2 linked regions of the Canis lupus familiaris genome follow. The protein of the gene in region 1 purifies or fractionates together with the protein of each later gene. This does not show direct contact. Links are inferred from orthologs where the notes say so. Each region holds a gene or a part of one and is shown on either strand. Other genes may lie near its edges. The genes, in order: BTK and ANKRD54.

Region 1 (3,816 bases):
AGTGAGCTCCAGAAAGAAGAAGCTATGGCTGCAGTGATACTGGAGAGCATCTTTCTGAAGCGATCTCAACAGAAAAAGAAAACATCACCTTTAAACTTCAAGAAGCGCCTCTTTCTCTTAACTATGCACAAACTTTCCTACTATGAGTATGACTTTGAACGTGGGGTAAGTTTTTCTGCTGTGAAACCTGAATATCAAGGACTTAGCCTTAGATCTTCCTTGAGGACTAGATATTTTTGGTTGGAGGAGGGAGGTGGTAGGGATCGAGGTATATTTCAAACTCAGAAAAATGTTTCTTAGCCTAGAACTAACTACAGCCATGTTGGCACAAAAAATTCAAAGGTGCTAAGAAGCCATGGGGGCAATCTTACCATGGAATCTTGCAACTGATCATTCATTAAGTGCTGTTGAGAATGAAATCCACGTCTTGAAAATTATTCTTCATTTTTTATGGTAAAGGCACACACAGTCATCCACTCTTCTATAGTATTTGCCCTCTGATAGTCAAAAAAGTTTAGATTAATAGATCTGGAAGTTTTGTTGTATTTTTTTTTTCAAAATGACAGGTTCTGATGAATAGAACGTGGGTGTCACCTCACTATGTTGAATGATTAGATAACAAAATCTAATCATCTGGTTGCTTAATCATTCCTAATCTTTCTCCATTTTGTTCCTCATTCTCTTTCTCAGAGAAGAGGCAGTAAGAAGGGTTCAATAGATGTTGAGAAGATCACCTGCGTTGAAACAGTGGTTCCTGAAAAAAATCCTCCCCCTGAAAGACAGATTCCAGTAAGTAGAGACCATTGTCAGAGCAGGAATGGGGTGGTTAAGAAACTTGGAACACTTCAACTCTCTATAAATAAACTGGTGATGCAATGTGGTAGAGTTCCCTTACAAAATTATTCACTCTGGAACATATGGGTTATACTGAATCTCAGCATTTTCCCCCCAGATGCAGAACTCACTTAACCTTGGAAAATTCTAACACCAATTTTACGATGATTTTTTTAAAGGAATCTCTACAACCCATGTGGGGCTCAACCTCACAACACTGAGATGAAGAGTTGCATGCTCCACTAACTGAGCCCCCCAAGAGCCCCAATATATGAAATTTTCAAACTCATCAGAGATGATTGGTTTTATTCTCTGAGATACCAGGATCAGATTTATGGGCTTGAGTTAGTCTGAAAGCCAGAATTCTAGGTCTCTGAGTCATGAGATTCTTTAACAACTCACTGTTTATTCTCCTTTGATTTCCCAGAGCCTTTCCAAGGCATAATGGCTATAGATTTCTAAGTCGAGTTTTTAAAAAATGTCATTTATTATTTTTCCTAATTACAAGAGTAATGTGTAATTATTTTAGAAACTCTAGAAAATACAACAAAGCACAATAAGGAAAATAAAATCTTGCATGATCCCATTATCCAGCTAAAATAACTATTGTATGTTGGTGTACAGACTTACAGATGTTTTTCTCCACTAGCAACACATACATTCATACTAAGAGTATATTATATATTTATTTTTGTAAAGTTTATTTACTCAAGGGGCACCTGGGTGGCTCAGTTGGTTAAGCATCTAACTCTTGGTTTCAGCTCCGCTCATGATCTCGTGGATCCTGAGATCCAGCCCTGTGTATGGCTTCCCTTGCAGCAGGGAGTTGGCTTGAAGAATCTCTCCCTCTACCCCTCCTCCCACTCGCATTCTCTTTCTCTCTGAAATAAATAAATCTTTTTAAAAAGTTTATTAAAGTAATCTCTCTCTACACCCAATTTAGGGCTCAAACTCAGGACTCTCAGATCGAGTCACATGTTCTTTAGACTGAGTGTGCCAGACATCCCTATGGTATATATTTAAAACATAGAATCATACTACACATCTTGCTTTGTAATCTACTTTCTCAATTTAACGATATATGGAAACTTTCCCCATGACAATAGATACTCTTTAATAACGTGATTTTAATAACGTGATTTATATTGCAATTTGTTTAACCAATCTCCTATTACTACACATCTGTTTCCAACTTGATATTATAAACATGTTGAGAATATCCTTGCATACATCTTTATGTACTTTTCCTATTCTTTTTCTTATAATAACTTCCTAGAAGTAAAATATTATTCTTCTCTTTACTAGATCTGCACAATTTGGTTATGTTTATCTTTTTATTCTATTTTATTTTATAGGAGTATAATTTAAATTTCATACACTCCTATAAGCTATGTATGAGAGTATCTCTATTTCTCTACATTCTTTCCAATATCAGATATTTTAAATGCTTGTTAATTTGACAGCCAAGAAAAGTGGTATTTCATTGCTGACTTATTTTTCAATTTTTTGTTGCCCATGAGGTTGAACGTTTATATGTCTTACAGTTCTATTTTTCTATTTGTGAACTGCCTGTTCATTTTTTTGCCCATCTTTCCATTAGAATGTTTACCCTATTTCTAGTACTTTTTAAGAGATCTTGATATATTAAAAGTACTAATCCTTTAACTGTAATATATGTTGAAAATATTTTTCCCAGTTTTTATCTTTGAATTTTATTTATGATGTTTTTTACTTGTTCATTGTTACCATTCTGGGTTTTAAAATTTATGTCATCAAATTAATTCATCTTTTCTTAATGATTCTAACCTTTAGCATTATATTGGGAAGTCTTGTCTCCCATAAGATTATATACACGGTCAGTTTTTTTTCTCTGTCCGTTCATAGTTCCATTTTTATATTAAACTTTTGAATCCATTCAGAATTTACTTTGGCTTATGCTGTGAAATAGCCACCTAACTGCCCCACATACACACACACACACACCAAAACTAGTGGTTAAATATTTGTCCCAGCACCATTGATTGAGTAACCTCCCTTTCCTCAATGGTTTGAAATGGCTGAGGTTTTTTTTTAACATGTATGTTCTGAATCCTATGTATGTATCCTATGATATGTATGCCTACTGGATTAAAGGAAACAATCCACAATAATTAATATTATCTGTGCAGGAAAATCTTCTGGAGCGATTGCAAAGGACTCCTAGTACCTAAGGAAATCCAAAAAAGAACAATGCATCAACCAATAACTATGCTTTAAGTTTTTATTTTAATTCTAGTTTTTTAACATGCAGTATTATATTAGTTTCAGGTGTACAATATAGTAATTCAACAGTTCCATACATCACCTGTGGTCATCAAAAGTGTGCTCCTTAATTTCCATCACCTATTTAACCCAACACCCCCCCACACACACACACACACACACACGCATCCCCTCTGGTAACATTCAGATTGTTCCCCATACTTAAAAACCTGTTTCTTGCTTTGACTTTCTCATTTTTTTCCTTTGCTTGTTTGTTTTGTTTCTTAAATTCCACATATGAGTGAAATCACATGGCATTTGTCTTTCTCTGTCTTATTTCATTTAGCATCATACTCTAGCTCCATCCATGTCATTGCAAATGGCAAGATTTCATTCTTTTTAATGAGTGAATAACATTCCATTGTGTATGTGTGTATATATATATATATATAAAACATATCTTTTTTAAATTTTTTAAAATTTTTATTTATTTGTGATAGTCACACAGAGAGAGAGAGAGAGAGGCAGAGACACAGGCAGAGGGAGAAGCAGGCTCCATGCACCGGGAGCCCGACATGGGATTCGATCCCGGGTCCCCAGGATCGCGCCCTGGGCCAAACCGCTGCGCCACCCAGGGATCCCCTAACATATCTTCTTTATCCATTCATTAATTGATGGACACTTTGGCTACTTCCATATCTCGGCTATTTTAAGTAATGCTGCTATAAATATCAGGGTGCA
Region 2 (4,538 bases), on another chromosome or scaffold:
TTTGTTGCAGCAGACATAGAAAACTAATATATGGATATGATGAGAAGCTTTCCCCTAGGACTTGTCCTTGTACCTCTGATGCTGCTACTCCCATCAGCCAATGGACACTGGAGAGCAACCATGCACACAAAAAAAAACCAGGGTGGTGTCCTGCTAGGAGCCCCTCTCATTCCATTTGGGTGTTCCGTCAACTAAACAAGTTTGAGAACCATTGACCCAACTACTGCAAAGCCTCAGTGAGCATTGAAGGTGGTGGTTCTGTTCGGGTGGTGGCTCTTCTGGCAGTTAAAGTTGACTGTTCGTTCCCATTAACCAAAACTTCTAAAAAGCTCCTACCCTGCTGCTCGGTGCCAGAGATACAAAAGCAGACATGGTCCCCACATCAGGGAGCCCACAGACTGAAAAACACTATGACATCAGGAAGTTCAGAGTGACAGGGAAGCATGGGAAGAGTGAGCATCTGAGCAAGACTAATGGGACACCTGGGTGGCTCAGTGGTTTAGCGCCTGCCTTTGGCTCAGAGCCTGATCCCAGGATCAGGGATCAAGTCCCACATTGGGCTCCCTGCAAGGAGCCTGCTTCTCCCTCTGCCTATGTCTCTGCCTCTCTCTCTGTGTCTCTCATGAATAAATAAATAAATCTTAAAAAAAAATAAGCCAGACTTATCTCTTGTAAGATGAATACAGTTACATGATATATATAGTGAGCCTAGTCCAGGGTGTGAGCTGGCATACTGAATTCAAGCACTGTCTTCCCAGGAATTGGTTGCCTGGATTTTTCTTTTCTTTTCCTAACCAGCCGGTGGGGCCAGACCTGCTTTGCACACTCACCTGTTTCCACGTCATTGGCATTGGCTGAGTCCCTCAGCCTCTTCAGAGCTGTGAAGAGAGCAAGAGAGCTCCAGTTAAAAACAAAATAAAACAGGAGCACCTGGGTGGCTCAGTGGTTGAGTGTCTTCTTTCAGCTCAGGACGTGATCCCCAGGTCCTGGGATGGAGTCCCATATGGGGCTCCCCGCAGGGAGCCTGCTTCTCCCTCTGCCTGTGTCCCTGCCTCTCTCTCTGTGTGTCTCTCATGAATAAATAAATAAAATCTAAAAAAATAAATAAAACAGTCATGATGAAGCAGAGAGTGGATGGCTTCCTAGTTGATCCACCATTCACCCACAAGAACATCTAAAGGGAAGGAAAGGCACCAGGATACAAGAGACGCTACCCTGGGAACAAGAAAAACTTGAAATGTATCACAGCTACACAGTGCAAAAAGCCACTTTCTGTAGCAAATCCTTCAAGGTCTTTGGAGCCAGATCTTGGCTCTGGCACTTAAAGTAGCTGGGTGACCTTGAGCAAGTTAGTTAAACCTCCTGGGCCTCAGGTTTATCATCTGGGAAAAAAAAAAAAAAAAAAAAAAAAAGGTTGAGCCCTATCCTGACAGCCCCAAGTTGTTGCAATTATATTCTCCAAAAGAGGCCATTCCCAAATAACTGAGTTAAATTTGGTAATTCCGAAGCAGAAACGCTTTTCTCCTATAAGGACGCTACCTCTGTATTAGAGAACAATGCCTTTGTCATCGGAGGGATGGTCAAAATTGCAAGCAGATACATTTAATGATTCCTTACTTCTGTATAGCCCTTTATGCTTTACACAGCACGTTCAAATTTTCATTTAATCTTAACAGCATGACTTAGATAAGGGTGGAATCACAGATAGTCCTAGAAGGGACACTAACATTTCCATTCTTAAATCTTTCAAGGCATTGGTTTCCGCGTCATCCCCAAATGTAAAAGACAATAGAGCCCACACACGAGCAGGAGTTTGACCTGGCCCATGTGGGTTGATGCCAGCACAGCCACTTTCTAGCTACCGGGGGTTGGAGCAAGGCAATCTCTCCGAGCCTCAGTTTCCTCTTCCATATAATGGGAACAGTATCTGGATCTCACTGAGTTACTGTGAGGACTGGAAATGAACACATGCCGGCCCAACAGTGTTTGGCACACCACCAAAGCAGGATAACCTGTACTGATTCACCCCCTGACTTAACTCCGGCAACATCCCCGTAAAGCAAGTATTGTAGTGGTTTACACACGGAAAAACTAAGGCTGGAAGTTTCTATAGTTTGCCTAAGGCTTCGAGGTAGAGGAGTCCAATCCCAGTCCGTGCAGTTAAAGGAGTTGCCGGAGCTTGGCCACAGGCTCCGGCCTCCCCCCCTCTTTGACGCTAAAAGCGTTCGCCCCAACACCCCCCCCCCCGCCCTTCTTTTTTTAATCTACTAAGAAACGCCTGGAGTCCTGAAAAGTTTCTGTTCAGGAATCCCCGAGCGCTTAAAGGCCGTCCCCTCCAGGTTCGCGGTCCTCGGTGCTCGCGGTCGGCGCGGGCCCGGAGCTCAGCCGTCCGCGGACCCGGTCGCGAGCGGCCGCGGCAGTCGGGGCCCCCGGGGTCCCGCCGCGGTCCCGCCGCGCTGCTCACCGTGCACCTCCTTGCCCGTGGGCCCGAGCCGCCGGTGGGGCCTGGCGCGCCTCAGCCGCCCGGCGGGGATCTTACGGCGCAGCTCGTCGCGGGGCTCCGCGTCCTGCTGCCACAGGACGTGGAGGTAGCGCAGCGGGGACTGCGCCCCGCCGGACGCCCGGCCCGAGAGGCCCGCGCCGCCGCCCAGCGCCGACCCGAAGTCTGCGAAGGAGAAGAGGCCCTCGCGGCCCGTCAGCGGCTCCGGCGCCACGGCGCACTCGCCGTCCGAGCTCGAGCGGCCCGAGCGCGGCTCGTCGTCCGCGCCCCCGTCGGCGGCTGCCATGGCAACGGCTCTGCGCGGGCCTGGCCGCGGGAGCCTCGTTCCGGGCCGACCAACCGACCCGCTTCCTCCGCCCTAAGCCTCGCTGTCAGCGGGCGAGCGGGCGGGCCGGGCCCGCAACCACGGCAACCGGGAGGGGGCGGGCTCCCGCCGCCAACAGCCAATCGGGCGTGGTTCGGGCGAGAGAATTGGTTTCCGGCGGCGTAATTGACGGACAGAACAACCAATCGCAAATATTAACCGCCCACGCCCTCACCGTACGTCGCCACCGGAGCCAATAAAACAGCTGAGTTTAGGACACTTTTTTTCTCTCTCTCTCTCTCTCTCTCTCTTTTTTTTTTTTTTTAAACTCTCACCAACTTCCCGAAAGATAACGGGCAGATGCTTTAACCAATCACCTCAGGGGAGCTGCAGCCAATCACTGAGGAAAGCGAAGAAGCCGCCCTCCAGGGATAAACAGGGCTACATTTTAAATCGCGAACGAAAGAGGGGGGTCTTCCCGGTGGAAGTGCGTAGTGTAAGAAAGTAAGAATGTGTCAACGTTTGGGGCTCTTCCGCAAAGGGGGGAGTAATAGCTTCTGAAGCGGAACGATCCCTTTGGTGAGGGTTCCAGTCACTGACTTACGAAGAATTTTAATTCAACGTGACTGCCCCACAGCGACGCCGCAGTCGGCGAGCCGGTCACCGAGCCAGGAACCGTGTGTCCAGGGCGCAGGCTCAGCCCCGCCGCCCGCGCCGCCCGCGGTGATGCGCACAGCCCACGGGACACGCAGGGGCTCCGCGCGGCGGACCGGCCCCGCGACCCCTCTCACCACCCGGCCGCCCAGCAGGACGTCCATACGCTGGACGAGGAGCGGGAGGAGCGGACGCCGGACACCAGCGACTTGCGTGCGGATGCCGCGCGCCCCGGACCACGGCCTGGGTCCAGGCGAAAGTTCTTCCTTCTCCCTCAACCCACTAAAAATGTAATCTTTCCCCTGACAGTTGAAAAACACCTTCAGAATTTGCGGTGCTCTCGGAACACCACCGTGAGGTTTCTCGTGATACTGTGTGGAGAAAAGCGCTGTTTTATTTGATCTCTGCCCCACGTATGCCTACTCCCCTTGTGGTTACAAGGAAACCGAGGAAAGAAATGAACACCGAACACGCATCGCTTACCAACTGCTTGATGTATTTTATATGATTTCTCCCTCACAAGAACCTTAGCAGGTAGATGTTATTATACCCACTTTGCTCATCAGGAAATTGAGGTCTGGAGATGTTATATGAACCCATGTACAGGATTAGAAAGAACTGGGATTTGAGCCCCTCAAAGTCCTCTCTTTCCACCATACTGTTTTCTTTAATGAAGAGCCTGCTGGGAACCTAGTTCCAGAAAGCTTAAGGGACATCTGGGTGTTTATACCTTACTCCTGCTGAATGTATCTGGAAATAACTTTATTATTCATTCCGTGTAATAACCTCCAAAGTTGTCTTCATCCCTCCAGCCTCTCTTTGTAGAATTCAAGGTGCATATGCTGGCTAAGGTACAATTCTTTTTGTGTCTGTAGGATCTGCCTACCCAGGTTAAAGTGCAAACCCGTTATTCTAGCAGTCAGCCGTTGTCTTCCGCCTACTAGTGGGTCCGGTCTTCGAGCAATCTGGTCAACTAAATATGTGTACATGTCACAATCTTTTCATTTGAACAGACTCTCTAAACATTTGGAGTTAATTGTTACTTCCCATTTTAAAAACCAACTTTGTTGGCGTATTAAT

What was found.
Region 2: the proteins of BTK (region 1) and ANKRD54 purify together in Homo sapiens (affinity purification with mass spectrometry; 4 studies listed by BioGRID and IntAct, counting the BioPlex papers as one, with this or other methods). This does not show direct contact. The link is inferred for Canis lupus familiaris from reciprocal best matches to the Homo sapiens genes BTK and ANKRD54.

Annotation. Positions count from the first base shown.
Region 1 is NC_049260.1:75,697,002-75,700,817, reverse strand, and holds part of BTK (tyrosine-protein kinase BTK), read left to right. Parts: coding exon 1-165; intron 166-690; coding exon 691-789; intron 790-3,653; exon of another isoform or gene 3,654-3,816. UniProt on the Homo sapiens protein: Non-receptor tyrosine kinase indispensable for B lymphocyte development, differentiation and signaling. Binding of antigen to the B-cell antigen receptor (BCR) triggers signaling that ultimately leads to B-cell activation.
Region 2 is NC_049231.1:27,793,149-27,797,686, reverse strand, and holds the start of ANKRD54 (ankyrin repeat domain-containing protein 54), read right to left. Parts: upstream 2,840-4,538; 5' UTR 2,787-2,839; coding exon 2,465-2,786; intron 879-2,464; coding exon 831-878; intron 1-830. UniProt on the Homo sapiens protein: Plays an important role in regulating intracellular signaling events associated with erythroid terminal differentiation.